3 linked regions of the Astyanax mexicanus genome follow. The protein of the gene in region 1 interacts with the protein of each later gene in a pairwise test. Links are inferred from orthologs where the notes say so. Each region holds a gene or a part of one and is shown on either strand. Other genes may lie near its edges.

Region 1 (10,604 bases):
TGTTTAAAGAGCATTATTGTGAGAGTTTAACTGCTGATAGAGCCCCTGTGTGATGGATGATACTATGGGGTGTTTTCAGATCATATACTGCACCCTTGTGGACAAGAAATGAAGATGTTTGGAATTGAGTAGGAACTGTGTGATAGGAAGTACATTTAAAAAAATATATATTGATAAGCTGCATACTGCTATATTTTAAATGTAAAAAATGTATTATTAATGATAAAAAAATTAGAGAGCACTTCAGTTTCTGAATCAGTTTGTCTGATTTTGCTATTTATAGGTTTATGTTTGAGTAAAATGAACATTATTGTTTTATTCTATAAACTACAGACAACATTTCTCCCAAATTCCAAATAAAAATATTGTTATTTAGAGCATTTATTTATTTGCAAAAAATGAGAAACAAATGCAGAGCTTTCAGACCTCAAATAATGCAAAGAAAACAAGTTCATATTCATACAGTTTTAAGAGTTCAGAAATCAATATTTGTTGGAATAGCCCTGTTTTCTGTTTTTTTAGTCACAGTTTTTTTCATGCATCTTGGCATAATGTTCTCCTCCACCAGTCCTACACACTGCTTTTGGATAACTTTATGCTACTCACTCCTTCTGCAAATATTCAAGCAGTTCAGTTTGGTGGTTTGATGGTTTGTGATCATCCATCTTCCTCTTGATTATATTCCAGAGGTCTTTAATTTGGTAAAATCAAAGAAACTCATCAAGTGCTCTCTTATTATTTTCCGCAGCTGTATACAGTAAAACTGCCACAAGAATTTTAAATATTTTTGAGTTGATTAAAATCAGTATAATGTTCAGTTTTCTTAATTTTGCCAATCTACAGTGTTCATTTTAAATTACTTTCTAAAAATATTTTTTGATTATTTTAAATCACTTCATGTGAAAATACATAAATTTGAGTAACACTTTACAATAAAAGTCACGATTAAGAGTAATTATCACAGTAAGAAATACTATTAAATAGATTACTGTTAAGTTTTTAATAACTGACACTGAATAAGACATTATTTAACATTATTATATATATATTTTTTATGATTAAGTAGTAAAAATGAAATGAGACATTAGTTTTAAAACAATTTGCTACGATTAATATATTCAGTATATTCAGGTAGTCAGCTGACCTCATTCTTTAAGCACATTCTGTTGCTGAACCTAAACCTGCAGACCAACTGCAGCATCAACCAACCAACCCCACATCATTTACTTACTTTACTTAAATCCAGGTGGAGACTTTTTTTTGGCCAGGCAGTGTATAATGAGCTTACATGTGTTTATACTTTACACAATGACAATTTTTGCTTTTTTTACTGTCCCAACATGAAAATAATTTGGTTTAAGGTCAGCATTTTACAAACATATCTATTCATACTTACTTTTTTTTACTCAGTTTTTAAATGCAATGATTTTTAGAACCACCAGGGGGTTCAGTCTGTCATCAGGAGAAGTAGAACTCTTTGTGCTTAATGCTCCTGACATGATATTCACATCATATTGTACTAATGTGTCTGTTATTAAAACCTGATCTAGATCTGATATCAGGTACCCAGTATAAAAACTTTTTCATCTTTTCATCAGGGCCAATCACATTAGGACATAATACCTGTCAGGTGGTAACCTTCTCATAAAAGGCCCAACCAGAATATCCACAGACCAGTAGTATTTTAATCTGATTTATGGGTATTTTTTTATTTCCAATTTAAGATTATTTTAAAATCATCATCAGACATGTTACTAATATATTGGTTGGTAAGAAAGTAATGGGTTCCAGGTGTAGAAGCCATTAGCCAATATGTACCCATGTAGTCATCAATATAATCTGGGTTATTATCATGCTTGGAAAGGATATAACATGATTATTTGTCCATGTTATATTTAAATTCCTGTGTTGATGTACAGTACCTCTCATACAGTGCCAAATTTGGACACACCTGCTCATTTTAAGTGTTTTTTTGTGTGTGTGTTAATTTTCCTACATTGTAAATGAATACTAAAGCCATCCAGACTATAGAGGAACACATAAAGAATAAACTTTAAGAAGCAAACTTAAGGAAAATGTGTTAAACAAACCAAATACTTTGCATTTAGATGCTCTTATTTGGTGTAATACCACTGATAAACTTATCCTATGCATCAGAGGAAACTTTTAGTCCTTTCCTAAGCAGTCCTGATGAGAGCCAGTTTCATTATAATTTTTTTTTATCTTTTTTTTTTTTCCCATTGTCTCCCAATTTAGGAAGGCCTATTGTCACATCCATTCAGCTGATGGGACAATTGATGGGACAACTAATGAGAGGAAAGAGAACCATCTACCCACCCAGAGAGAGCAAGGCCAATTGTGCTCTCTCGGGACTTCAGCAGCTGAGGGCAAGCTGCATGATCAGGATTCGAACCTCTGGACCTCTCCATTTTAACATTTTAGATGGTCTTTGCCACTGCACTTGAGGACACTTTTAAAGTTCTTGCAGTATTTCGGATTGACTGACCTTCCTTTCTTAAAGTTTTTTTTTTGGAGTAGAACATTGCTTAAATAGGGCTTTTCAGTGTATACCATCAGTTTTGTTGTGAAGAGTTAAAGTTGGTATACAGTGAAAAGCATTATTTGAGACCTATTTGAGGGAAAAAAAGGGATAATGGGGCAAATTAGAAATTGAGTTTGGGCCTAACACTGGCTTATTTTGTGCTTTCTTTACACATCACAACAGTGAACACAAAATGAAACTTTGTATTAGTATACTTTTCTTCATAAGTCTCTTTATTCTTAAGCCAAAATAATGAGGTAGAGGTAGAGTAGTATTGGAGTTTCAAGGGCAACTGTTCTGCCCCAGTCTGGACCAGCTCTGCAGACCTTGCATCAAGTAACAGTGTTAACCAACCACATCCCTCCGATGATGTGTTTACTACTACTCTCCCTCCCCGCACACGAGTAGAAACATGTCTTGTGGTGGGGCTGCTGAGTTTCAGTGTCTTCTAACACTGCAGACACGTGCAACTCTACAAGCTGAAACAGACTCTTTTGAAACTGTATTAAATGATTTGTTTTATTTCAACTTTTATTTTGAAAAATATATTCGCTGTAGCATTGTTTCATTAAGTTTTTCGCAAAGTCACAAGATGTATTTCAATTTAGTGTGCATTATTTTTTTCACCAAGATCTTCTATTAATTATGGTCTGACTGCTGCACAAAGCCTTCCCCACCACATCCTATAGATTCTCAATGAGGTTAAGGTCTGGACTCTGGTGAACTCTCTCAATCCATGTGTGAAAATGATGATCTCATGCTCCCTGAACCCTGAACTCTTTCACAATTCCAGCACCATCAATCCTGACATTGTCATCTTGGAATATGAAGAAAAAATCCATTGATGGAATAACCTGGTCTATATTCAGTATATTCAGGTAGTCAGCTGACCTCATTCTTTCAGCACATACTGTTGCTATACCTAAACCTTCAGACCAACTGCAGCATCAACCAACCCCACATCATTTACTTAGTTAATTTTTTTGTCCAGGCAGTGTTTAAGAAGCTCCAAAAAGAAACATAAATGATCCCAGACCAGCATATTACATTGTACAATTAAGCAGCTAGCATAATAGCATCTAATATAGCATGTCAGGCCCCTCTGACCTCAGTGTCTACAGCTGCTATTTTATGTGTGGTGCCTACACTACTTGATTTAACTTTACTTGTTTATTTGTTTTTCCATTACCAGGAAAATGTAGTATCTGGCCAGGGTGATATTAGCTAGCGGTTGTTCCAATATAGCTTGTTTTAACATGGTAAACGTGGAGCCTACAGTTTGATATACTTACATGTGAGCGGCAAAGGATGCTAGCACATACTGCAATTAGAGGCTGTGGCTAATGCTGCTCCAGTAATGCTAGCCGGGGTAAAAAACAGGCTACAGTCCGATAATACTCACCCCTGAACATCGAAAGAGCGAGCGTTTAGCGTGAATAGCGGCTAACGTTAACACTGCTCCAGCCTCAGGGCTGGAGACCTAAATAAAACAGCGGAGTGGCTTTACTGCTCCTTACAATCTTGTTTAGTAGCTCCTCCATTTCCACTTGCTGTTGTGTTTAAGTGGATCTACATGGAAATGCAGGCCCAAAGTGTAATTACGGTGCGGGACAGTGGACAAATAGCTATTTTATTAAACGCGAGGAGACAAAATTCAGAGATGTGCGTCCAGACGAAACTAAAATTACCTGAGGACCACGGAGTTCAGCTAAAAACAGTAGATAATTTAGCCTGTAATTTTCCTTTCAAAAGACATCTGAGAAAAACAAGTACATGGTCGTTCCGGATGGGAATAAAATCACAGAGGACCCCCCATAAAAAAGAAAATTACCCCTCACTGAGAGAAACGAATCCATCCAGATAGGGCTTTATAGTGTGAAAAATACATTAGGTGCCCACAACAAAATCTGCACAATTGCTAACACTACATTTGTTCAATCCACCTGTAAGGTCTATGAAGCTACTTTGTGCACACCTGTAGCACCCAAATGCCACACAGAGTTAAGAGGATGAGGGAGAAGCTACGCTAGCTTAGTTATTAACTCCACAGCACATTCAGCTAATAAATCAACTAGCGAGCTAACTACACTCGACCTTAAATCTCTTAAAAGCGTTCAGTGATCATACTGGCACGCTGTGCAGCGTTGCACGGGCTCGTGCCGTGCGGTTCACGCCTAATAAGAGCGCGGTAGCTGTGAGTGACACGGGGGAACAGGTCATCTTTTCTCCTCCCGTTTCTTCCATTTGCCCAACCCCCACATCGCACAAGTAACCGCCCTTCTTCATCCCCTTCAACCGAACCTAACAACACCCCCTCGCTTTTTTCCCTTTTTTCTACACGCACGCGCGCTACGCCTCGTGGGGGTTGTAGTTCCGCGCTTTAGCTTTGAACGACTCGAGCGGCTTAAAGCCAATGCATCTTTAAACTACAACTCCCATCAGCCAGTTCAGCCTCGAACTGTTCCTGTCCAATCTGAATATGTGGGCGGAGAGCGTCCGCCCACAAAAAAGCCATAGCAGAGGGTTTTTTATATATATCTAACTGTAGCTCCAGCTAATGCAATTGTGCATGAAAAAAAAAGTGTGATGGAGGTTTTTTATTTTTGCAATATCGCAGAGTGAACGCAGCGGATCCGGCGAGCGGCGAGACGCACCGGGAGGACGGGGATTATTAACGTTAAAGCTTGGCTAAAATAAGACTCACATAGGAAAAAAGAGCGGGGCGTATTTTTTCCTGCGTTCACTCGATATTTAAATACAAGTGGGTGGGCCTTAAACGCGAGGCTGGAGCGTTAGTTAACTAGCTAGCTGCTACAATAACTTGGATTTGGACGCGTTTCGTCGGAGGACAAGAGGAAAAAGAGGGAGAGGGAAGGCAGAAAAAGAGAAAATTCGCAGGCTGAAGAAGAGACAGACGCCCGCTTTCCAAAGGTACACGCTTCTGCTTTATTTTCCCACGGGCTGCCGTGTTTCGGTACCGCCCTTCCTTCCTGGCGGGGCTGGGTCTGCTCGTCACTGCGCGCCGTTTAGTGCTCAGTGCGGTCGGTCGGTGGAGCTACGCCACACCACCCAGCAGCCATTCGTGGGGAGGAAAAAAAAATAGGCCGTCCTTCTCCGGGCTTCTGCCTGCCTTCTGCTTCTGCCTCTGCCTCCGCGGCGTCCGGCCTTCTTTTTTTTCTCCCTCTTTAACAACTCCTCTCCGGTTTTATTAATGCGGGATGAGTGGTACGTACCCTCCCTCCCCGAGCTGTCGTCTCCACCCCTCTGTCTCTCCCCCTCTCCCTCTTTCCACACACACTCAAACACACATACATATATACACATACACACACATGCACGGACCTTCCCTCCCCTGTTTGTTTGGTTGACAGAAAATGGCTTTGTAAGAATGAACTTGGCTGCTGTCTTTCATGGCTAGTGTTTTGCTTGTGCAGTGTATATCTAATTAGCCATCTATCTATCAAACAATCAGGGGGGTAAAATGACGAGCAGGCAGCCAGTCATCTAACTAGCTAACTAACAGTTACCTATTATAACCTAACGTTATATATGCCCATCTCTGTGTTCCTCCTGTGCACACGTTTATTATATGTCTGATTATATATCTCATGTATTACTATCTTGGTTATAGCTAACTAGCTATCATATATGCCCCTTTCCGTGTTTCTGTGCTCACGTTTTACTATCTATGTAGCCAATATCTCTGATCCAGGACTGTCTATTTCGAGCTAGCTAGCTGCCTTTCTGTGCTCACGTTTTACCATATATCTTATCTATCTGTAAAAACAAATGACGACCAGCCAGTCATCAGGGCTGTCTTAGTTATAGAACGCTAGCTAGCCGGCGTTATATGTCCTTTTTTGTGTTCTTGTGCCCACGTTTTTCTATCTATCTATCTATCTATCTATCTATCTATCTATCTATCTATCTATCTATCTATCTATATATCTATCTATCTATCTATCTATCTATCTTATAGACATAGCTAGTTACTTAGGTTATATAATTATATTTTTAGAATTATATAATTATCTGTGTTTTTATGCTGACTATCTTATCTATTTAGGTTGGCTAACAGTTAACTGTTTCAGGATCGACTAGCTAACTAGTTGTGTTTATGTGCTCACGTTTTACTATCTAATTTATCTATCTATCCATATGTGAAAAGAACGACCAGCCCTCCCTCTCTCTCTCTTTCTTTCAGGACTGTCTATCTCTCTAGCTTTATGTTTCTCTCCGTGTTTCTGTCTGTCAGTTCAGCTCATTTCCCTGCCCACTACTGCCCACTAATGACCTGTTGGACTGAAGCCTGTCTGCCTGTCAGTCTGAAGGTTTCTCTGCCCGCCTTTAGAGCTTCCTTGCCCGGGCTGCTCTGCTCGGTCGGCCCGCTGTAGCTGTCACTAGCCTCCGCGCTGTTTTGACCCAGACATGATTTGGTTTTCGCAGATCAGAAGAAGGAAGCCATGGCCACGGACGGGGGGAAATCGGGTGGAGGTGAAAGGACCACCAAAGGGAAGACCCCCGGATCACAGGTTGTTCTTAACTTTGCGTTAAACTTTGCGCAGCCACTCATTTTCTGTCCCCGCACACACTTCCTGATTCAGTGCTGGGTAACGTTAGCTGGCTGCTAACTGACGTTAGCCGCTTTGCTCACTAGTTTTAGCTTTAGCTTTAGCTTCAGTAGCAACAGCAGTAGGTTAGCTAGCTTATTTTATAATTCATAATGGCATTTTATTTATTTTATTAATTATTTTTAACTTGTTGATTTATAATATGATTAAAATATTAGTTATATATTTTTTCCAGAGGGCATTTTATTTTTGTTTTGTGTAGGCCTGTCACAATACCTATTTTATAGCTTTAATGTTATTTTATCCCACATATAATTGCAGGAAATATATATTATTGTCATTTTGAAAACATTTTATACAAATGATATAGCGTTAATTAGCTTAATAATGATATACTAGCATACTAATTCATATACATCCCTTTCAAACATAGTAAACTTTTAGTTATTAATTAAAATGATTATACATTGAAATAGACTCCTGACATTTCTAAGCAGATATTTTAAATAAAAATAAATAAATACATAAAACACTTATAATTTTTGATCATTTTTAGCATGGCATCTCATCCTTGCTAATTAAACATAATGGTCCATATATTAGGCAATAAATCGATTATGTATTTTTTGTGAGAGGCCTATGTGCAGTTTCACAGCTGTAATGAATACATGCTAGCATACATTCCAGGGTTTATACTTAAAAAAAAAATAGCATAGCATAGCAACACTTTACCTAAAATAGAGTGATAATATTTTATTTAAATACTAGACTTAACATTCAAACTGGTTATAATTTCGATGTTTTTTTTTTATCACTGGGGTAATGTGTATTTAAAGTATTCACTGGCAAGTGTATCAATGCATTTGCCTCAAAGTAGTGGAAGGAAAATAATTAAAGCTATTTACAGGCTGTAGTAACAGGCTGTGATGTCAGTTTAAGCATTATTGTCTCACTCATGCATGATCAATATTATAAACAGAACAATATTGTATGATGCAATGTTGCAAAAATGGCTTTCAACAGATAACATCTATGCACCAAAAAATTGTAGCACAAGCATCATGGTCCACATAGTAACATTTAGATGCTGTTATGCTACTGTGCTGGCTACACTTCTACACATCTACAACAGAGCTTATAGCGCAACACACTATTGGTTCTGTCCAAAATACTCCCACACTTAAGATGCCAGAGGGCAAGATTTTAGCTGAATGTTCCTTGTTGTAGAATGCCTACTACCTAAAACGTGCAATTCTGCACTTTTCTTACTACATTTCTTACTAATAACTGCAGTTCTAATGGTGATGCTTAATTTTAACACATTACTTAGTGCGGTAGTTGTTGGTAACTGTTGGTAAGCATGCTTTTTAATACTAGGATGCCTTTTTACTATGTATTTATATGTCATTTTGAGAGCGTGTGTCTGTCAGTTAGTCAGTCATTTCTCTTCATTCAGTATTGCTGTGACCCAGTTTTGGCGCAAATTTCGTGTTGCTCATGCCCCTCATCGGGAAATGAAGAAATTGTAGTTCACAACCACCCACCCACTCTTCCTGTAATCCCGCCTACATCTGCTGAAACTAACAGCGTTTTTTTTTCCTCTGTGTGTGAATGTGTGATGTGTTTGTGTGTATGTGTATGTGAACAGGACGCACAGCCGTCGCCCCTCGCTCTGCTTGCAGCCACATGTAGTAAAATCGGAGGTGTAGGCGGGGAGGGTCAGCACGGAGCACAGCAGCAGATCATCATAGACCCCAGCCAGGGTTTGGTGCAGCTCCAGAACCCCCCTCAGCAGCTGGAGCTTCTGCCGGCCCAGTTCACAGGAAATGGCTGGCAGATCATCGCAGCCTCACCCGCTGCTGCCACCACCACCACTATGGCCAAGGACAACATGCAGACGACCAGTGTGGCCACTGTAGCGACCACAGCAAACGTGGTGGCTGTGGACGGCACGCAGGGCCGGAAGGTCAAAACGATTGGCGCCAACAATGCCAGTGTGGGGCAGCAGCAACAGCAGCAGCAGCAACAGCAGTTTCAGATCATCCAGGTGCAGAACATGCCCAATTCGACCGGAGGGATCCAGTATCAGGTGATCCCACACATCCAGACTGCTGACGGTCAGCAGATCCAGATAAACCCCAGCAACCCCACAGCCTTAAGCGTCCAGCCTGAGCAGATCCAGCTCATTTCTGCTGGGAACAACCAAGCCATCCTCGCCGCTCCACAGAGGGCGACCTCTGCCAGCATCGTGGCCCAGAATGTGAACAGTCAGGCCATTCCGCTGCAGATCCGCCCATCATTTCCGCTCCAGGTGCAGACGATCCAGGGCGCACAAGCACCAATGGTGACGACGTTACCCATAAACATAGGCGGCGTCACGCTAGCTCTGCCCGTCATCAACAATGTGGCTGCGGGTGGAGGATCTGTCCAGCTGGTCCAGACAAGCGATGGCAGCATTGCTAATGGCAACCAGTTGATTGCTACCCCTGTCTCAAGCGCAGTCAGTGGAGCAGAAACCGCAGTCGTCGCCACCTGCACAACTACGTCTGGCGTCGTAGAGTCCATCGTCACAACCACCGCTGATGCCGCGGCCACCGCCGCCTTGGAATCAGGCGTGGAGTGTCAGAAAGATGGCCAGAGCTCAGACGGCCAAGGCACAACCCAGTCTAATGGGCTTCAGCCCACGCAAGAGCAGCCAGCTCAGGTGCAGCAGTTTCAAATCGTTTCTCCCCCGATGTTGCAGCAGTTCCAGATCCAGCAGCCCCAGCAACAACAGCAACAGCAGCAGCTGGTCCAGGGCTCCATCCAGCTTCAGCCAGGCCAGACCCTGCAGCCAGTACAGCAGAACGTCCAGTTACAGGCCTTCCAGAACCCGGCGCAGGTCCTCATCCGGACACCCACGCTCACGCCCACGGGTCAGATCAGCTGGCAGACGGTGCAGGTGCAGAATGCCGCTATGCCCCAGCAACTCACCCTCACACCCGTGGCCTCCAACACTGGCGGAATTACACAGATCGCCCCGCTTACACTAGGGGGGACGCCTATTACCCTCAACACTGCCCAGCTGACCCCTGGGGCAGGGGTGCAGACCGTGAACATAGCCGGCCTGGGCACCACTGGGGTACAGGGAGTGCAAGTGCAGGGAGTGCCCCTCACCATCACAGGAGTGCAGAGTAAGACCCACATTGCTTTTTAACACTTTCTTTGAGCTTTGAGCATTAGAGAAGTTTGAATAACCACTCTGTCATTGGATAACCACTTAGTTATGAAACTTAATAATAAGTGTAATAAAGCCACAATAATTCAGTTCTATTTAATAGGGTGTTGTATCATTTGTTTCAAGCAAAACTTGTGCTTTATAGGGCCTTAATTCTACTTTAGCCACAAGCAAAAAAAGCTAAAGCAAATAAGCTAAAACAAAACAAACTGTTGTGTTAGGGGTGGGCAGTATGGCCCTAAAATAATATTACAATGTCACGTCATGGTATTTT
Region 2 (10,818 bases), on another chromosome or scaffold:
GTATTTCACAAACTTTTTAGGTTATGAATTATCAATAACCAAACTTAAACCTCCAAGTACCACCTACAAGCGAGCCATTTCACAGAAACACACGAGTTACCACACACACATAGTTGTAGTTAAACCTGTTGTGTGGAGCTTGCTTGCTTTTGCAGTGTGTAAGTTAGTATGATTTAGGTTCATTGATTGGTTATTGTTTCTTGTTAATACAGTATTCCTACTGAGACTCTCAGAAAATTAAAATAAACTTTTTTTTTTTTTTACCTTATTTAGATAAAAAAAAAACTGTAATGCAGAAACTGTAATGAACTGTTGGCGACTAGCTGATTGATGTAGTTTATTATATCGTGTGGTGTTTCATAAGGTTTTACTGTAGGACCAATAAAACTGATGTTAATAAAGGTAATACTGTAGCTCTGAGAGTAAAGGACTGAAGTGAGCTTACATACAGGTTCTACTTGTACCACAGTTTGAGAACCACTGCTCTAAATGACTTAAAAGGTCAACTTGAGTTGATATTTTCTGGATGACATCAGTCTATAAATATTAAACAGGTATTTAACAGCCTTATGATTGACCAATCAGGTTAAAACTTGAAAAACCTCTGGAATGTATTCAAAAGGAAAACAGATTGCCACAAGCCATCAAAAAATCTGCTTGAGTTTTTGTTGCAGCAATAGCATAAGGTCATTCAAAAGCCTTGTGAAACTCTGGTCGAGGGCATGCAAAGATGCATAAAAGCTGAAAATCAGGGCTATTGCATCCTGATTTTTTTTTTTTTTTAAATGTTCAACTTAGTTTCTTTGAATTATTTAGGAGTGATTCCACTATTTTCACCATTTTCTGCATATAAATGCTCTAAATGCTCTCATTTTTTAATTTAGAAAAATGATCAGAAGTTTATAGAATCAAACAACAATGTTCATTTTATATTTTTATATTTTTTGTTTACAAAATTCCACATGTGTACCTGCATAGCTTTCAAAGAAGCAGAATATGTTTTATACTTTTAGATTATTCTAAGTAGCACATTAAGCTTTGAGGACCGATCTGCACACTCTTGGTATTTTAATCTTAGTGTCTTCATGAGGTAGAGTCACCTAGAATAGTTTGCTCAGTTTCTTAAAGAAGCTCCTGGAGGTACTGAACAATAGTAGTTTTTTCTTCGCAGGATAATGGCTTGTTTCAACAATGCACTCCAGCTCATCCTAAATCACCCATCTCAGTTGGGTTTAGATCATATAATTTGTTTACTACGTAATTCCATACGTGTCTCTCTTAATTGTCTTTAACATTGATGTAAAATAAAAAAAAATGATGGTTTGTCAAGGGATCAATAATTATTTCCTTTACTGTATGTATATACACTGCTCAAAAAAATAAAGGGAGCACTAAAATAACACATCGTACAGTTGCAGGAAGAATGGGAACACTTTGGGATTACTTGGATTTCTGCATAAATTGGTCATTAAATGTGTCACAATATACAATACAATAGACATACACAGTCTGCTTAAACTTATATTTTTTGGGAGGATATGTTTGCATGGTTTTATTGAATACAGCATGTTAACATTCACAGTGCAGGGTAAAAAAGTATGTGAAGCTTTGGATTTAATAACTGGTTGATCCTCCTTTGGCAGAAAAACCTCAACCAAACATTTCCTGTAGTTGCAGATCAGACCTGAACAGCAGTCAGGAGGATTTTTTAACCATTTCTCTTCAAAAAACTGTTTCAGTTCAGCAATATTCTTGTTATATCTGGTGTGAATCGCTCTCTTGATGTCATTCCACAGCATCTCAATTGTGTTGAGGTCAGGACTCTCCAGAAGGCGTATTTTATTCAGTTGAAGCCGTTCGGTTGTTGATTTACTTCTATGTTTTTGGTCACTGTCCTGTTGCATAATCTATCCTCTGTTGAGCTTCAGTTGATGGACAGATGGTCTAATGTTTTCCTGCAAAATGTCTTGGTTAACTTGGGAATTAATTTTTTTGATGACTGACTGCAATTCGTCCAGACCCTGAGGCAGCAAAGCAGTCCCAAACCATGGGTTTGATGATTGTGCGTTGTGACCTTTTTCTCCACACATAGCATTGTGTGTTCCTTCCAAACCACTCAATTTTGGTTTCATCTGTCCACAGTTTATTTAGCCAGTACTGCTGTGGAACATCCAGGTGCTTTTTTCAAACTTCAAATGTGCAGCAGTGTTTTTTTGGACAGCAGTTCAACAGTTTAGACAACTTCCTCAGTGGTGTCCTCCCATGAACTTCATTCTTGTTCAATGTTTTCCTTATTGTAGATTTGTCAACAAAAATGTTAGCATTAGTCTTCAGCTGACCCTCTCAGATTCTCTCTCACCTCATTGATGATTCTGTGCTGTGCTCTTGCAGTCATCTTTACATGATGACCACACCTAGGGAGAGTAGCAACAGTGCTGAACTTTCTCCATTTGTAGACCGTCTCTCTTACCGTGGACACAAACATCAAGGCTTTTAGAGATACTTTTGTAACCCTTTCCAGCTTCATGCAAGTCAACAATTATTGAATGCAAGTCCTCTGAGAGCTCTATTGTGCAAGGCATGATTCACATCAAGCAATGCTTCTTAAGAACATGTGTGTTTATAGGGCAGGGCAGCTTTAACCAACACAGCCAATCTCATCACATCCTGGCTCCAATTAGCTCTTAGGAAAGTTATTAGTCTAGGGGGTACTTTTTCCCCCTCACTGTGAATTTTAATGTGTTCAATAAAACCATGCAAACATATTATTTTTGTGTGGTATTAGTTTAAGCAGACTGTGTTTGTCTACTATGTTTGTCTATTGTCTATTGTTGTGTCTTAAATATCAGAACACATTTAATGACCAATTGATGGCAGTCACGGTACCTCTGGCGAGCACATGGAGGTCTGTTCAGCCCTCCAAAGAAATGCCTTCTACATCATTACTCACCCACTGCCAAACCGGTCATGCTGGAGGATGTTGCAGCAGCAGAACATTCTCCACAGCATCTCCAGACTCTGTCACGTCTGTCACATGTGCTCAGTGTGAAGCTGCTCTCATCCATGAAGACGAATGATGAATCTGCCAAGCTTTGTTTTCTCTGGCAAATGCCAAACGCCCTGCACGGTGTTGGGCTATGAGCACAAGCCCCACTTGTGGAAGTTGGGCCCTCATATCACCCTCATGGAGTCTGTTTGTAACAGTTTGAACAGAAACATGGATATTGGTGGCCTGCTGTAGGTCATTTTGCAGGACTCTGCACTGCTCCTCTTAGCGGTAGCGGTCCTGCTGCTGTGTTGTTGCCCTCCTACGGCCCCCTCCATGTCTCCTGGTGTACCGGCCTGTCTCCTGGTATCTGCTCCATACTCTGGACACTGTGCTGACAGACACAGCAAACCTTCTTGCCACAGCTCGCATTGATGTGCCATCCTGAATGAGCTGCACTACCTGAGTAACTTCTGTGGGTTGTAGACACTGCCTCATGCTACCTCTATGGTGAGAGAACTGACAAAATGCAAAATTGACCAAAACAGAAAAGAAGAGAACAGAGAAAAGGTCTGTGATCTCCACCTGTAGAAACACTCCTTTTATAGAAGTTGTCTTACTAATTGCGTTGTTATGGTGTTGCCTTTATATATATTTATATATATATGTATATATATAAATATATATATACATATATATATGTGTATATATATGTGTATATATATGTGTATGTATATATATATATATATATATATATATATATATATATATATATATATATATATATATATATATATAATTTTGCCACTGACAAAGACATTAACAGTCTATAATTTTAAGGGTAGGTTAATTTTTCCAGTGAGAGATAGAATATTAAAAATAAAATCTAGAAAATCACATTTTATTAAAAAGAAATAGGTATTTGATCCCCTACCAACTATTAAAGAGTTCTGGCTCCTACAGACCAGTTAACCAGACGCTTTTAACTCATTACTTTCATTAAAGTTACCAGCATTAAAGACAGCTGTCCTAAATGGTCACCTGTATAAAAGACTCCTGTTCATAGATTTAATGACTCTATAACCTCTTCAACATGGACAAGACCAAAGAGATCTCTAAGGATGTCAGGGACAAGATCATTGACCTGCACAAGGCTAGAATGGGCTACAAAACCATACATAAGGCGCCGGGTGAGAAGAAGACAACTGTTGGTGCAATAGTAAGAAAATGGAAGAATACAAAATGACTGTCAATCGACATTGATCAGGGGCTCCGTGCAAAATCTCACCTCATTGAGTATCAGGTAAAAGATCAGCCTAAAACTACAGGGGCAACTTGTTTGTGATCTCAAGGAAAAGTTGCCAAGTGACAGCCTCAAAATCTTAATGATTTAGGGATGATCTACAAAGAGGAGTGGACCAAAATTCCTCTTGACATGTATACAAACCTCTATACTTAACTCTACCTACTCAATTTCACACTGGATTTCTCCTTTAAAGCTATTAAACTGTTAAGGTGTGAGATTTTGATTCTAAATTGATTTAACATTTAGTTAACAAGAAAATTAAAAAGTGACACACTGCACTTTTATGTGCCTTTTTTTAATAATTAATTCTGTAAAACCATTCTGTTTTATCATTCAGCACCTGTTTTTAATTAAAGTGAGAATGGTCTGGACCTTGTGCTTCTGCCATAGGTCATTATTGAACCACAGCAGATCTGAAACAGAGATCAAAATGTTACAGAGTAACAAATGAAACAGAGTAACAAAATGTTACTTAAAATGTGGTAACAACTAGGTATAGTGATTCATCTTTTTGCATGTTATATCAGGTTTATATCATTAAACTTAATAAAAATGTTAGTTAAAAGCCAACACAAGTAAACATAACACAGTTTTTAAATAAAAAAATTTTTATTATTATGGGGGGAAAAACTACATGGCTCTCTGTGAAAAAGTATTTGCCCCTAAACCTAATTATTGGTTGGGCCACCTTTAGCAACAATCAATCAACTGCAATCAAGCATTTGCGGTAACTCCACAGAGCTGTGGAGGAATTTTGTCCCACTTTTCTTTACAGAATTGTCGTAATTCCACACATTGAAGGGTTTTCGAGCATAAACAGTCTTTTCAAAGTCATGCCACAGCATCTCAAAAGGATTCAGGTCAGGACTTTGACTAGGCCACTTTTTAGTTAACCAAGTGGACTTGGTGAGTTTGGGATCATTGTCCTGCTGTAGAACCCAAGTTTGTTTCGGCTTGAGGTCACAAACAGATGGCTGGACATTCTCCTTCAAGACTTTTTGGTAGATTTATGGTTCCATTTATCACAGCAAGTCTTCCAGGTCCTAAAGCAGCAAAGCAGTCACACTACAACCACCATATTTTACAGTAGGTATGATGTCCTTTTTCTATATGCTGTTACTTTTATGAAAGATGTAATAGACACACACCTTCAAAAAGTTCAACTGTCTCGTCTGTCCAGAGTACTCCCAAAAGTCTTAAGGATCATCATGTTCTCTGGCAAAATTGAGAGGAGCATGTTGAATGTTCTTTTTGCTCAGCAGAGGTTTTTCGTCTTGCCACTCTGCCATGCAGGCCTGCTGTTCTTTGGATGTTGTTGTGGGGTCTGTTGTAACCTCTCAAATGAGTCATCACTGCACTCTTAGTGTAATTTTGGTCAGCTGGACACTTCTAGGAAGGTTCACCGCTGTTCTACATTTTGCCATTTGTGGCTAATGAAGTTCCAGAACTTGCTATATACCCTTTTCCATACTGATAGATCTCAATTACTTTTTTATTTCTTTGTCATTTTTATTGGGATATTGACAGGATGTCTAGCTTTTGGGTATCTTTTGGTCTACTGTACTGTCAGGTCTTATTTAAGTGATTTCTTGATTGAGAACATGTGTGAAAGTAATCAGGCCTGGGTGTGGCTAGAGAAATTAAACTCAGATGTGGTTAAACCACAGTTAAGTTGTGTTTTAGGGGGAGGCAAAGAGTTCTTACACAGGGCCACGAAGGTTCTCCCTTAATAATGAAAGACCTTCATTTTAAAAACTGCATTTTGTGTTTACTTGTGTTGTTTTTGATTAATGTTTACACTTGTTTGATAATCTGAAACAACCTGTTTTCAATTATCAAAAATATTTTAGTGTCATCAGGGCAGGTGACCTTCAAGCGTGCTAGGAGCAGCCCCATCACACACTACTCACACACCCTGATACATACTCCACCTTGCTCGTACACAGTACTTGCTGTAATAATGAAACATAAAATCTGAGATCACATGAAAACAACAATTAACCTGCCCTTTAGGCGCTCCATACTTTTAAGTAAGGTTTTAAGTAGCAATGTCTTCTTAATTTTTATATATATATATATATATATATATATATATATATATATATATATATATATATATATATATATATATATATTTATTTATTTATTTATATTTATATATATGGGATGGGGGTGTCACTGGGATTAAGAGTAGGCGGGGTTTAGCCTGCAGTATGTGGACCACTGAGCTGTCTGCTACAGAATCGGGTGCGCTTTCTGTTCTTTGTCCTCCATTACGACTCTGATTCTCTGCTGTACGGCGCAGGCCCGAAGTAGCGCAGCCGCTCTGAGGTTAGTACCCTACCGCGCAATCGCCAGCTATATTAGCCCCGGCGCAGCCGCAACAACACCCCGGCAGCGGAGGGCTGAGAAAAGGCGGATGAGCGTGTGTTGATGCGGAATAGAACGGGACATTTTGGAGTTTTTGAGCTGTTTCTGGGAGCAGCAGTATTAACACTGCGCTCCTACAAATAAAACCTATGTCGCATTTGCCGGCCTAGGCCACTGGTTAGAGCTGTGTTGGTCTTGTGATGGCGGGTTAGAAATAACTCGGAGCTAACAGCATTAGCTGGCTGTGGGCTGTAGCTGCCCGCTTCAGCAATAACGCCAGAGAGACTGGTGACCCGTTTGTGGGACAGCTAGCTACACTGACCCTGGAATTTACTAAAGACTGCAGGATGGGAAGCTTAATGTAACAATGTTTTATTGCCTTTTCTCTTTGTACTTTGCGTAGTTAGCTAGCCAGCTAGCTTAGCTAGCATTGTCTGTTAACTTACTACAGGGCACAGTTAGCTATCCTAGCTAGCATGTTAACAAGCAAGCCAAAAGAAGAGCTTACAAAAATTCACCGACATATTTAGATCTCGTTTAGTCCGTTTTAATCTAATCTACTTTCGAAAATTGTTTGCCTTTTAATAAGAACACAAAAATGTACATATGGTTCGCTAACGTGTGGCTTCTGAATGCTAGTTAGCTAACTGTCACAGCCTGCTATTACCCCATACATTACGTTACTAGTTAACTGGCCCTGTTAGTAGTTAGTAGCTCCATGCTCGCTTCAGGAATGAGACCTGACAGTCGTGCAACCAAATTAAATGATTAGGTTACATTTTATAGTATTGTTGATTGTAATGTTTGAGTGTTGCTAGCATTAAGTTAACCTATAGACCCCATTAGTTGGCTAGCTGGCTGTTTGAAGTAAATAGACATTTTTATTATAGGGGTGTGTGGACCAATTATTTATTATTACTGCATATGAAACAAAACAACTTGCACTGTAGGTAGGCAAACATGTAATTTTATTTTTTATCTAAGGAAAAGCCAAACGATTAATTAAACCTTACATATAGCAGACTAATAATCAGTCAAATGTGACATTTTAAATTCTTTTAAAATATAAATTAGATTATTCAGCCATTTCAGTCGTCTACACTCAGATGCTTGCCTTTGGTTTGTTTTCAACATATTCTCATCAACCTCATCACTGTCAGGCTACAATAGTCTTCAGAGTGCTGCTGTTTCTGCTCGAAGTAAATGCAATGAACAGACGGAAGCTCCATGTAATAAACATAAGTCATTAACAGATGCTGTAAATACTGTAAAGTGGCTTGCTAAAGTATTCATACCTCTTGTTTTGTACTTCACAAATCTGGGCTTTACGGAGAAGTGGCAAGAAAAAAATAATTGATAAAAGAAAAACATAAGAAGTGCCGGTTTAAATTAGAGAATATTCTTGTTAGTCCTGACCTAAACCCCATTAAGCGTTTGTGGCAAGACATGAAAATGACTGTTCACAGACTCTCTCCATCCAACCTGAGCTATTTTGCAAAGAAAAAGGGGCAGACATTTCAAGCTGTAGATGTGCAAAGCTGGTAGAGACATACCCCAAAAACTTGCAGCTGTAATTGCAGAGAAAGGTTGCTGTAATAAGTATTGATATAGAGGAACTAAATACTTTTGTGTTACAATTTTCAGATTTTTATTTGACTTAAAATGTTTAAAATTACATATATTTTTTGTTTCAATTCACAATTATGTGCTACTTTGTATTGGTCTTTTATTTAAAACCTCAATAAAATCCATTTAAATTTGTGCCTGTATGGTGAAAAAATGTGAAAAAAAGTTCAAAGGGGTATGAATACTTTTTCAAGCAGCTGTATATCTCCTACAAGCCTAGGTCATTTTTATTAGTGGTGTGCACTTTTAACCCTTCAGAGAAGTGGTGACAATGTAATACATAATATTTAATCAGGAAATATATATTATAGTTATTGTAAATTGTAAGCATATATTTCATAAATGATCTAAATAAAAAAAACAGCAACCAATTCAGGACAGTCTAACCAATCAGATTCATGATTTTCACTACAGGGGTGGGGCCATGGCTGTCTAACCCCTCCTTAGCGTTCTGATAAGGGGGCTATGCATTGGTTAGTTGTACAACAGTTGTGAAATGCTTAGTTTGATAGTTAACTATCCTGTTATCGATCATCTATCATGACAAATATTGTGTAATATCTAATTAAAAAGCATTTTAAAGGCTACATTTCAATGGGAAACTAATTCACAATAATAGGCCACCTGACTGGTGAGTTTTTGTAAATACTTAATGTTTTGGCTGCCCTGGCGTACTGTAACCTTACAAAGGAGTGATCTTTGTTGAACGGCTGTTCTTGTAGGAGAATTAAGCATTGATTGTTGTGGTCTATTGTATATGGTACTGTTGTCTTTTGTAGCTGTTTTTGTGGGCTGTTATTGTGTATTAAGTTCATATTACTAAGTCAAGACAGAATATGTAGTTATTGTAATATTCATCTATGTGTAGACTGGGTGGGGTGTTGCAGAAGGGGTACCCACTGTATTAACTGCACGCCACTGTTTTTATATTAGAATCTAGGCTAATCAAATATGTCCTAAAGAGGAACTACACTTAGACATTTTTACATTAATATATGTTGCTGTGTAATGATTAAATATTCCAGCCCTGCATAAAATGCTTACAAATTAGATGCAAATATTAACAGAATTTAGATATTTTATCATAATTTGATCAGATGATTTTGCTGCTTTTTGTTGTACCACTCTTGTACTTAACTGTCATGTCCAAATCACATTGTAATCTGAACTGTAATTTTTGCATATTGTGATAGCCCTACAGAGGAAACAGTGTACAGCATTAAAATCTAAAAACTATATGCAGTATGAAAAACCACAGCTAAAACTACTTATCAGATCTGCAGTTTAGCTACTTTTTATGTGCATAAATATGATGGCAAGATTGGACTTGATTTCTTTAGTGAGTTCTGTGAACTGTTCTATTTCTAGCGCAGTTTGAGTGACTTGTATTGTTAATAGACAAGAAAATAAGAATTTGGTGTTCAGTTTCATTTTCTGGATGTTTTTAGAATCACACCTACAGCACACCTAATATTTGGTTAGTTTTCCCTTACCACGAAAACTTTGTTAGATGCTTAAACATGTAAACATGGCCCATCACCTGTCTTGTATTCTAACGTTTTTATAGGGAGTATACTTGTTTTACCTCTGCCAAAAAAATACTTCTAAATCTGGGATTGTGCAGATATAGTGTATGTCCTAATCCAAAGTTAAAGTTAAAGTTTAGCTAACTCATCAATAGCATATGAAGGCACACAAATAGTCCTGTTACCAGCTACCACAAATCTATCCTGTGCAAATGTTTAGTACAAAAAATGTCAACATGTTAATTTTGATTAATTAATGTAAAAGAAAAAATAATGTATATAAAATAACTCTGAATAAGGGCTTTCCATGGTGCCCTTTGAGCCAGTGCTACATTTCAGTTACTGTAAGAGATGATAAACATAAACAAACTGGCTCTGCTTGGCCACCTTGGCTTGACCAGAGTAACATACTGTCATCTTACATACAATACAGGCCAAAAGTTTGGAAACACCTTCTTATTCAATGCGTTTTCTTTATTTAAATAATTTACATTGTAGATTCTCACCAAAGGCATCAAAACTAAGAAAACACAAGAAACACAAGGAATGGACATTAGACCAGTGGAAATCTGTGCTTTGGTCTGATGAGTCCAAATTTGAGATCTTTGCTTCCAACCGTCATGTCTTTGTGAGACGCAGAAAAGGTGAACGGATGGATTCCACATCAAGTGCTAAACACCTCTGGGAACTCCTTCAAGACTGTTGAAAAACCATTTCAGGTGACCACGTCTTGAATCTCATTGAGAAAATGCAAAGAGTGTGCAAAGCAGTAATCAGAGCAAAGAATTTTAAAGAAACTAGAATATGTTTAAGTTTATTTGACCTTTTTTTGTTAAGTACGTAACTCTACATGCGTTCAATTATAGTTTTGATGCCTTTAGTGAGAAGCTACTAAGTTAGGCTGTTAGCTCTAAGCCTATGGCTGCATTCTGGTGATTTGAGGGTAGTAAGTGAAGTTAACTTTAACCATAATCATCATTTCAAACCACACAGCACGATCAATT
Region 3 (10,866 bases), on another chromosome or scaffold:
TTTGCCACTTGTAGGTGGGAAGTGGAGAACCCTCTTCAGAGACACAGGTCAGGCTGATGTTTTGCCAATACTCAGCGGTTCCTTTAATTTTGCACACAGGGTCAGATGGGGCAACTGTGAACAGAAGCATACAAATCAGCACTACATTAGGCTCATATAATAGTGTAATAGATATAGATAATGTTAGAGAATATTTAGTATGTATATAAAAGAGTAGATGCATTAACATGCATATGCAATATTTAATATTACTGTTTAGAGTGTAAAATGAAGATTAAATGCATTTGGCCAAAATAAAACATTCAGGCTATTTGCACACATTATGAAGCTTGTTGTGTTGCTGCTCCTGCCTAAATAATTTATTTGACTACACTGCTATATATTTGAAATATTCTTAAACATCTTAATAAACTCCTTAAAACTACAGATAGTTTCTAGTTTTCCATTCCAATGTTATAACATTTGGAACATCTGCAAAACAGTAAAAAACATAAAGAATTTATTTGTCCTCCACAATTTTCCGACCTAAACCTGATTAACTGAGGCGATGACTTAGGATGAACTGGAGCACCTCAAGGAACTCCTTCAAGATGCTAAGAACTTTTGACTGAAATGCATATTAAGTTGAGCAGATTTCTGATTTGGGTTTGTAATTGTAATCCAGTACACAGCACATACGTTTTTAAAAATAGATGTGCCAAGAAGCAATATTTAAAATAATGAGTTAGAAAAGCAGTTTTTGCATTCTTGTTGTAAGTGAAATATGAGTTTAAAAATATTTCTCAAGTTTAAAGAACCTCCAAATAATGTAGGACTCTGTATTAACTTCCTAGAACCATCTATTTATTCAAGCCAAGAACCACTTGAAAACTATTTAGGAGCTGCCAGTGAAGTGTTGTAACAGTATGATGGGTTGGTGTGCTGTTTCAAAATGTGTAAATACTTCCTACTCCTACTTCCACTCTTTAGGTTGTGTATTTACTGAGGTTTAGAGATACCAGGCTATTGTGAGGTCAGAGATTTACAACTGTACTTTTCAATTCTACAACAGTTTAAAATGCGGTTTATGGCCCTGGTCCTGGAAGGCCCCTTGTCCTGCACACTGCACCAGTTTCCTCTGCTTTGACACGCCCACTTTACCTCAGTAAGAAATAAGGACTTGTTAATGAATTACATTGTTGGGTCAGGTGTGCTGGAAGCATTGATAGATAGGTATCTCCAAAACAGCTACTTTACAGGAGTGAGATAAAATCTACTTAACTTTAAATTAAAGTGAATGTAAAAATAGTTTATTTCAGGTCAATTTGGAGCATTTCTATTGGTCAATTTATTTTTAAGAAAGATTTTGACTTAATGTTTAAGAATATTGTGTTTGCAAATTGCCTTTGTGTTTGCCTTTATGTTGTCAAAATGCTTATGAACCACTCATTAACTAATTCAGAATAACTCATTTATCACTTGTGAAGATGATAATTGTTAGATTGTGAATTATGTTAAGACTATAATTTTGATTAAATAAATATTAATACATGTTAGTTTAGTTCGGCTTTAAATGAGTATTAAAAGTCATGTTGGCTGAATAAATAATAATTCACTAAACTATAATTTGCATTAAATTAATAGTAAAACTGTTAGAATGTTTTATAACAAATAAAACATTTAAGTGTTCGGCATTAATATATATTTCTTCTAATTAAAATTATTTTATTATGTGCATCTGATATATATATATATATATATATATATTTATTTTCCTTATGTAAATCCAATCTGACTTTCTAGGCCTTAATGAGGCTTTGTGGTGATGTCCAATGCATATATCATGTGATTACTTACGGCACAAAACTAATTTCTTCACATAAATACATTATAAATAATTTATAAAGTTGTAATGAAGTCTTCGCTTTCGGCCACTTTTACCCAATTTCAGTGCTGCTATTTTTCTTGTTTTTTCTTTTATGGGTATTCAAGGGTCAGATACGTCATGATGCATCAGTTGTGCCCTTCAAATCACTTCATTTCACTGCACTTTGCTGTATGTAAGGGCTCTACACTTTAAAACTGAGTTCCATTGTGTATCACAGAAACACTGCAGACCAACTCAGCTGCACCCTAGGCATTGGAACACATATCACATTTTAAACTGAAATTACTTTAATTATGATTAATTTATTCTCACCCAGAACCACAAGGGAAGTAGTGGCTGTAGTTTGGCCCACAGTATCTCCAGGAATATTAACTCGGCATTTGATTCGCCTGTTTTCTCTCAGGGTCGCTTGCTTCAGTGTCAGTGTAGAGACTCGAGTGTTCACATTGCTGTCAATCTGGATTTTGCCCTCATACATTGGATCAATGTCGACATGGTTGTCATTGGAGTAGAACGTCCCAAAATTAAGCTATATTGAAAGGGAGAAGAGATGCAGTTTTGTTATTTGCAAAGAACCTTTCTATAGTCATCTGTTTTCTAGGAAAACTCATCCAAATGTTTTTTTTTCACACTTACCCCTTCATCATCAAATGAGCCATCAGGGTCAGCAGTCCATGAGATGATAATGAGATTATTCACTGGGTTTTTGGGCTGAAAAGTGCATGTGATGGCAACTTGGTCACCTCGAGCAACTTTATATGTGGATTGTGGAATATTAACTTCCAACCCAAAAGAAGTAGAAATCACTACGGAGAAAGAAACCAAAAGAAACCACATGGCAGGTGTTTTATAACTTATTTTTTGTAAAAACACAGAGCAGGCAATGCCACACAACACAATACATTTCATTTCTCTTAAATGAAGGCCAAAGAACAACAGATCTACAAACAATGGACAGATAAGACAGAATGCATTCTAGTTTTTCCTATTCGTTTTTGACAATTCCTTCTCCAGATAACATCTATAACACCAGCCAGTATCCACCACTCTAAATGGAAATCCAATAGTCATTACATGCACCTTTAACACATAGCTAAAAAATTATTTCCTAAATACAGCTTTATAATGGCTTTCCATTTATTTATTCAGGTGTGTTTTATGGAACTTTGACATTTTACTACATTGTTAGAAAAAATGTTCTATAAATTGTAACACTTGCAAAACAATTTTTGGTGTTTTCCAAAAAAGTGTTCCATATTGTTACAAGATAGAGCTATATAAGGCCATGCTTGCTAACAGTATAGCCTTAAATAACATTCAAATGTATTTGTTAAAGAATCCTTAAACAACCCCAATTAGAAATAATACAGAACTTTTTGTAGCAAATTTTTAGTTGATATTCATATTAAAATGTATTAAAATCAAAGCAAAATTTGTTTTTAAAAAAGTCGTTTGGCCTATTTTGCCCTAGTACTTCCGCTCTTTACCTTTTGACCCACCCGATATTCAAAATGAATGAACATGATTATTTTTTTGGTTGATCTATGTGCTTTTTAAAACTTTCCTCTCTCTGTCTTTTTTTCTCAAATACATATATTTCCACTTCCATAACATATTCTGTATATTTTCGGTTATTTTTACATATTATTTACACATAAGGAAATGCTGCTTGTCCTTAACATTGTGTAAAGTGAAAGTGGTTAAAAATGGTCAAAAATAACTGAAAGAAAATATATTTTCATTGATGTAATACTGACTAATATATTTTAATGAAAACATAATTACTGAAATACTGCTGTCACATTTGAACAACAAAACCAAGAATTTTGTTGTTTAAAAAAAATTACATTCAATACCATATTCATTAATGATACAAAAAAATAATGTATTCTAATATTACCTGAAAACAGCACCCCAATCCCACAGATTCTCAGTTTCCGCTTGTCCATTCTGCTCTCTCTGGTCATTTTATTTCAGTCCTGTAACAGAATAAATACTTGACGGTTTGGTGTCTGCACACTTCCTTATGACTGCTGGGTCAATAGGTGTGACAAATAAAACGGCTCCATCTGCACACCCTCACCAGCCACACCTGTTCACCCTTTGGACTTTCAGTGAGCGTCCCTTTGAATTACTATAAAAACCACAGTACTGAAGTTGTTGTCTACTTTCTGAGCATAAGAATGAAATATAGCAAGAGTATAAGAGTTGTGCTCATGTACATAGAGCCAGGTTTGCCCTCAATGATGGATTCCATTGTCTTCAAACATTTAACAAATCCCAGAAAAGCAAATCATTTTAGCAACAATAAGTATCTGCAGGCTGTAATTACATTTGTAAGGTGCCCAAGCTTTGGCACAGACTTTAATTTGGTCATTGTATTACTGTATATAATAAATTAATAATAATTGTCATGAGAAAAAAGAAACTGTGTTTTATGTGTAACTTGCTGCAAAGGTTGCATTTACTATATATATATTTTAGTATACTTTATTTTTTTAGTTTCTTACTAAGTCATACACATTCATCTAGATATTCAAAGCTACACCTATTATTTTAAATTGCCTTTCTTTAAGGTCTTTATTTCTTACTAAAGACAGTGCATACTGTAAAGACAAAAAAAACATAAATATGCTTATATATGCTGTAAAGTCACTTTTCTACACTCACTTCTGCCAAGTTAAATATTTTCCAGTACTGTGTAGGCTAATGTTTGGCATGTGGAATAGTAATGAGCAGTGTATACTAATTAATATACACTGGGTAATGCTTGTTCGGTTGTCTGTAATCTGTTTATTCCCCCATATCCCCTATATAACAGTATTCAGGCTGCCTCATTGAGATACATTGTATTTTTCAGCAGTTTTTACCTCCAATTTCAGTCTAACACTCCTCATCAAGCCAAACAAGCCCTTCTGAAGAGATGAATGAGTTGGATCAGGTGGGGCATATTGAGGTTGGTGTTCTGAACGATGCATAAGCTGTTCTATCCAGCAGATGGCACTATATCATTGGTATCAATTATTATTATTTAGAAGTCTGAGCTAAGTCTAAAGTAATGAGTAAACTATGGAAATAAGTAAAATTGGTAAACTGAGCAATTAATCCAACCTTTTTTGGATAAACTCAAACCACTTGGATTTTAAAATTACATGTGCAATTGATTAAACAGCAAGAATAAATGTGGTTAAAAAAAAGGGTCAAAACAAAAGTCATAGGGACAGTGGACTCTTCAAAGCATTACTGACCATCAGTTAATTTTTACATTTCATTTGTAAATCAAGGGAGCAGAGTCTGGAGGAAGAGTGGAGACACACAGTCCAAGCTGCTTGAGATCTAGTGTGAAGTTTCCACCAATCAGTGATGGTTTGGAGAGACATGTCATATGCTGGTGTTGATCCACTGTGTTCTATCAAGTCCATAGTCAGTGCAGTTTTGTTTTCCCTCTTACAGCACTTTATACTTCCCTCTGCCGACAACTTTTATGATGCAGAGATGTAGATTTCATTTTCCAGCAGGACTTAGCATACTGCCCACACTGCCAAAAGTACCAATTGGTCTTATATAATATTTAAATTTTCTGAGACACTGATTTTTGGGTTTTCATTGGCTGTAAGCCATAATCATCAACAATAAAAGAAATAAACACTTAAAAGAATTTAACACTCTGTGTGTAATACATCTATATAATATATCAGTTTCAATGATATTCAAATATTTTGAGATGCACTAGTATGTTTTGGCCATTGGGTGGAGTTGAACTGTTGTGAACTCATCAGTTGCCTAAAGAATGGCATTTTACAGGAATGGTAAAGGTCAGGTTACACTATTGAAGACCAAAAACAGAAAACTTTCCACATTGTCTTTTTACAGGATTGCTGGACTGCAAAATACACTGCCTGGCCAAAAAATAAAAAAGTCGCCACCAAAAACTAATATTTAATTGGACCGCCTTTGGCTTTGGTTGCAGAATAAGAACACATTCATTGTTTTAATAAGATTCTGCAACATCACAAGATTTATTGAAATCCAGTGTCGCTGCATTAATTTTTCACCAAGATCTTGCAGTATTGATGATGGTAGAGTCTGACCGCTGCACAAAGCAGCTCTTCTCCATCCAGCACATCCCAAAGATTCTCAATGAGGTTAAGGTCTGGACTCTGTGGTGAACTCTCTCAATCCATGTGTAAAGAAAATTATGATCTCATGCTCCCTGAACCCTGAACTCTTTCACAAATCCAGCCCCATGAATCCTAGCATTGTCATCTCAGAATATGGCCGTGTTATCAATGAAGATGAAATCCATTGATGGAATAAGCTGGTCTATAATATTCAATATATTCAGGTAGTCAGCTTTCATTCTCATTCTTTCAGCACATACTGTTGTTGAACCTAAACCTGCAGAACAACTGCAGCATGAACCGCACATTTACATTGCATTCAGTAAACTTCTTTTATGGAGTGATGAGTATCCTGGTGTGTATGAGTGTGTGTGTGTGTGTGGAGGTTCATTCAGCATTCAGAGGTGTGTGAGAGAGTGTGAAGTTCACTGCCACTCTGTGTGTGTGTGTGTGTGTGTGTGTGTGTTGAATGGGGCGCTGCTGTTGCTGCTGCTGTTGGGCTGGGATCTGAGTTTAAATATTCAAAATGGCGGACGGAGGAGCAGCGAGTCAAGATGAGAGTTCAGGAGCAGGTAATCATTACTGCATTTTACATATTCATATTCATATTCAAACGCTCTTTCTCTCAAGCCCGTTAAGCGAGAGGGGAGCGCGTGAACAGAGCCCCCGGGGCCGCGGCGGCGGCGGGGTCGGGCTGTCTGTCGGCCGCTCGGTGCTGGGGAGCTGTCGGCGGTGTGAGGGGGAAAGTGGCGATGCTGGGCGACGGAGAATTAAAGGCGAAAATCCCCCTCTTTGTGTGATTAGAGCGGAGCTGCGCGACTTACATATTCATATTGCGGCCGGGAGAACGCGGTTTAGCATATTTTATTAGTAATCAGCGGCATCACAGCGGGTTAGTATTATTATTGTTATTTACTCCGGTCCCAGTCCGAGCCCGCGGTTGTGGGGTATTATCCCCCCGGTGTCGGGGCACAGAGAGAGGGAGAGAGAGGGAGCCGGGCGGCCGGTGTTCTGTCGAGTTGTGCTACCCTGGCAAACCATGCTACTCTAGTGTAATTATATTTAAACGTAAAAATGCAAGAAAAAGACCCCCCAAAAAAATGCCTCGCTTGGAAAGCTTGAATCAGCATATAAGGACACAGTTTAAAGTTAACGTTAAGTTAATAGGGGTGATATGCATAACCAGTAACGTATTTTTGTATTTAATGTTATATTTAATAGTTTTTTATTATTATTCTTTTTATTATTATCAACTTTTTATTATTATCCTCATTTACACAGTTGTAATACTCTATACTAATACTGGCAGGTGCGTCTGGTTGTTTAACACACCCAGTTAGAACAGAATTGCTATTAAAAACATACAAATAAAAATAAAAAAGTGGTTCCACGCATGCGCACTGGTGTTGAGAAGCACATTTCGATGAATAGCACAACTTGGCAGGACACCGGCGCTACGCTAACGCTAAGGCTAATGCTAATGCTAATACGGCGGCTTTGTGTGTTTGTGTATTGTGTGCTGGGAGCCTATGGCTGATAAAAGCTTTGCATATTCATTTCCTCGCAATCGCTCGGCGTCTGCGCGCAGTGTTTACAACCGTAAATGTGATCTGCCGAGCGGCGGAGGGCTGCTCGGTGCGGGCTGAAGGACAGGGGAGCTTCTAAGGCTGATTTTATGTCCATATTTTGTCTTCTGCCTTTGTGTCCCACTGCAGCAGGAGAAGCAGGCGTGTGGCCCCGTTGTGTGTATATAGCTATATGTGTGTGTTAGCTAACCTAGCTTAGCTAACTAGCTATTCATGTGGGCCTGTTGTTGTTGGCTGTTACGTTAAAGACAACAGATGTGCAGACACTTAAATTAATTTAGCTTAAAGAAAAAGGCCTGCATTTATCGTAAACCTGTCTTTCAAAGGCCTTACAATTTCATCGACAGTAAACACTACTTAGGATTCATTTTGTCTAGTTATATTTCGCAGTTTTTCTATTTGATATGCAAGTTAGCTAAGTTATCTTACTTATTTAGTTAGTTAGTAGCTAATAACTGAACTATCTTTTTATATTAAGGGTTATTAAGCCTAAATGTAATGAAAACTGGTTACAAAGCCCCAGTTTTGCACCGAACCTTGTTTAATTGTATTACCTAGGTTATATGAACTTCCAGTCCCATTTTTGTTTGTGCAGCAGTGTGAACCTAGCCAACTAGTTAATTAACAAACTAATATTTAATATATTGGTCATCAATAAATGCAGGAAAGACTTATTATAAAGGCTGAAACGAATGTCTAGTAATTTTGGGGTTGTGAAAGTGGTCTTAATTTCGTCTTTGATTTTATTCCCCCATACCTGCAGATAAGGGGTGGGCAATATTATATCGTATGCAATATATCGTGACACAGAAATAACATATGAAAAATCCATATCGTGATAATAGGGCTGTTCTGTCTTAAAAGTAGTCTATTATTTACTGTGAAGCGTTAGGTGTATTATTGTATATTTGTTTTAGTTTGCAGTTTATATGCATGCACTAAATATTCTGCAGTATTATTTGCTGCATAATATGTTCTTGTGCACTGGTAAGCTTATCTGGCTACAAGACCCATTTTTGTTTGTGCAGCACTGAATTAACTAGTTAACCTATTTTTTTAGACATTGGTTTATCAGATGATGCAGGGAAATATTATTATAAAGGTTGTAAACTAATGTGAGGCATACTAATGCTGGGTTTGTTAAAGTGGTCTTAATTTTCTCTGTGTTAAAAAGTCCAAATTCTTTAATTTCTTTCCCCCATACCTGCAGATAACATGTAGTTAGAGCAGATAAAGACTACAGAGCAGATACTGTTCAGAATATTCACACTGAATAACTAGCTAAATCCCACAATGACACACTCCCAGATTAGCTATTTATCTATCTATGCCTAAACAGCTAGAATAACAGCTAACTACATTGGCTAGCCTCTCTTGTCTCTCTTTGTGTTGGTGGATATTCACCTTTTAAAAACAATTGTAACACTACATTGTTTACACCAGGCCAAGCTAGTAGAGCCAAATTAAAAGGTGGGCTAAATAGGTTGTAGCTAGCTTAGCCCATTTCATGGGTATGTATACAGCTGACTAAACAGTTCATTGAGTTTTCTGCAGGCGTTTTAGCCAATATCTGGAGTAGGTTATGCTGCCAGTGAGCTGGGCTCTATTGCCCTATTGTAGCCGGGCAGCTGTTGCTGCTGCTGCATATGTAGCAGGCCAGCTAGCGGCTGAATGAATTTCATTAACTTAGGCCTGAGCAGCCTGGACAAGAGGCAAGCAGTCCACTCGCTTCAGTTTCACGCTTGTTTCTTGCTGATACAGCAATATACAGGCCTTTTTTGACTCCCTATATCCTATCCTTTTTTCCTTAAATTCTACATTTTCAGGCACCAAAATTAAACTAATACACAAATGCATTTAAGATGGACTGTTAAGTGAGCTAACTAAGCCAAATTTAGCTTTACAAGCACATTCAAGTCTTGTAGCCAAGTTTGTAAAACGTTTGCTGTATGTGTTTTACTTCCATAACATAGATTACAATTTTATTCAAAAACCCAAACAAAATACATTAACATGAATTAATTCATCGCTGTTTTACATTTTACAAGCCTCTTTATACTTATAAATGCTTATTGTATTTGAGTATCATCTGAGGGTTTTTCTTTCTTTTATTATTTATTTATTATTATTTTTTTTTTACATTTTGCTGTCTTCTCTTTTTTTGCCCCACATTTCACATCTCGCCATCATTTTAATATCCTTGGTGTTGTAGCCTAGCATGGACATTTGGCTGATTTATTGTAACAGTTCACTGACTTTTGCCTCTTTCTCTTTCTTTTCTCTTTTCTCATGTTTTTAAAGTGTGTCTGTTGCTCTCCTGTAGCTGCATGGGGGAGGTGTTGGTTTGCGATTAAAGAATGCATAGGCTTAGGCCCATTAGCCTAGGGCCTCATTAGAAAGTCTAATGGGACGTGCCAGGAAAAAAAAAAGAGAGCCGCTGTCCCGAAGGTAACGCGTAGACCTGCTCTGCTCAGAAAGATGTTCTTTTATGTTTGTATCGAGCCCGGCCTGTGAGAAGCTGTGGCAAGCTGAAACACGTCTGTGTGTTGCGTTAATAACTTATTGCTGTGCATGAACAACTGAGGTGGATTTCAGTCATGTTTTTGTTGCATGTAACTGGGGAGGGAGTGTTTCAAAGCTGCCTGTAAGAGCTGAAAACAAGTGGCAGCCCCATTACTGAATGATCTGAAAGACTCAAACAAAAGCCTCCCAAAATTAATAGACTGAGGGATGAATGAAACCAATACCCAGGAACACAGCAGCAAATCTAGCTTTTATCAGTGAGAAATAGCAGCATAGCTGTGTGTAGTTTTAGAAACTGTGGTACTGTATTGTATTACAGTATTTTAGTACATTAGTTCATGTTTTGACACAACAAACATGCTTTAGTGGCCATACTTAGTACCATTCAGTGATTTTTATTTACATTGTGCGGCATTACAAACAATTAAATTGGACAAATCTCACATTCACTGTAATGAAGCATGCTTCATGCTTCTTTATTCATTGACAAAACCCATTATGTACTCACAAAGTATATTCTGCATCATGCTAACAAAATACTGTCACATTCCCCACAATAATTGTGGTTTAAAATGAGTTAATAAAGTGTTTTCTATTTCTATTGATGCTCTGTTCACAGTAAGACTAGATTAGAGGGCACCGCAGACAGTACATACAGAGAGCTTGTTTAATTATGAATTAAGATGACATGATGATGCTTTATTTTCCACTATAAATATTGATTTGTTAGTAATCTGCCAATATAGCTCTCTCATGCACTATTATATTC

What was found.
Region 2: the proteins of sp4 (region 1) and nrf1 interact in binary tests that used the Homo sapiens proteins (3 or more experiments, as listed by UniProt). The two-hybrid records come from large-scale screens. The link is inferred for Astyanax mexicanus from reciprocal best matches to the Homo sapiens genes SP4 and NRF1.
Region 3: the proteins of sp4 (region 1) and pou2f1b interact in binary tests that used the Homo sapiens proteins (3 or more experiments, as listed by UniProt). The two-hybrid records come from large-scale screens. The link is inferred for Astyanax mexicanus from reciprocal best matches to the Homo sapiens genes SP4 and POU2F1.

The regions. Positions count from the first base shown.
Region 1 is NC_064410.1:3,087,528-3,098,131, forward strand, and holds the start of sp4 (transcription factor Sp4), read left to right. Parts: upstream 1-5,529; 5' UTR 5,530-5,760; coding exon 5,761-5,767; intron 5,768-6,988; coding exon 6,989-7,074; intron 7,075-8,761; coding exon 8,762-10,286; intron 10,287-10,604. UniProt on the Homo sapiens protein: Binds to GT and GC boxes promoters elements. Probable transcriptional activator.
Region 2 is NC_064409.1:27,673,529-27,684,346, forward strand, and holds the start of nrf1 (nuclear respiratory factor 1), read left to right. Parts: upstream 1-6,695; 5' UTR 6,696-7,009; coding exon 7,010-7,023; intron 7,024-10,818. UniProt on the Homo sapiens protein: Transcription factor that activates the expression of the EIF2S1 (EIF2-alpha) gene. Links the transcriptional modulation of key metabolic genes to cellular growth and development.
Region 3 is NC_064418.1:5,046,296-5,057,161, reverse strand, and holds the start of pou2f1b (POU domain, class 2, transcription factor 1b), read left to right. Parts: upstream 1-6,450; 5' UTR 6,451-6,514; coding exon 6,515-6,560; intron 6,561-10,866. Other genes in the region: gpa33b (cell surface A33 antigen), read right to left, coding at 1-114, 2,180-2,396, 2,504-2,673, 3,768-3,834. UniProt on the Homo sapiens protein: Transcription factor that binds to the octamer motif (5'-ATTTGCAT-3') and activates the promoters of the genes for some small nuclear RNAs (snRNA) and of genes such as those for histone H2B and immunoglobulins.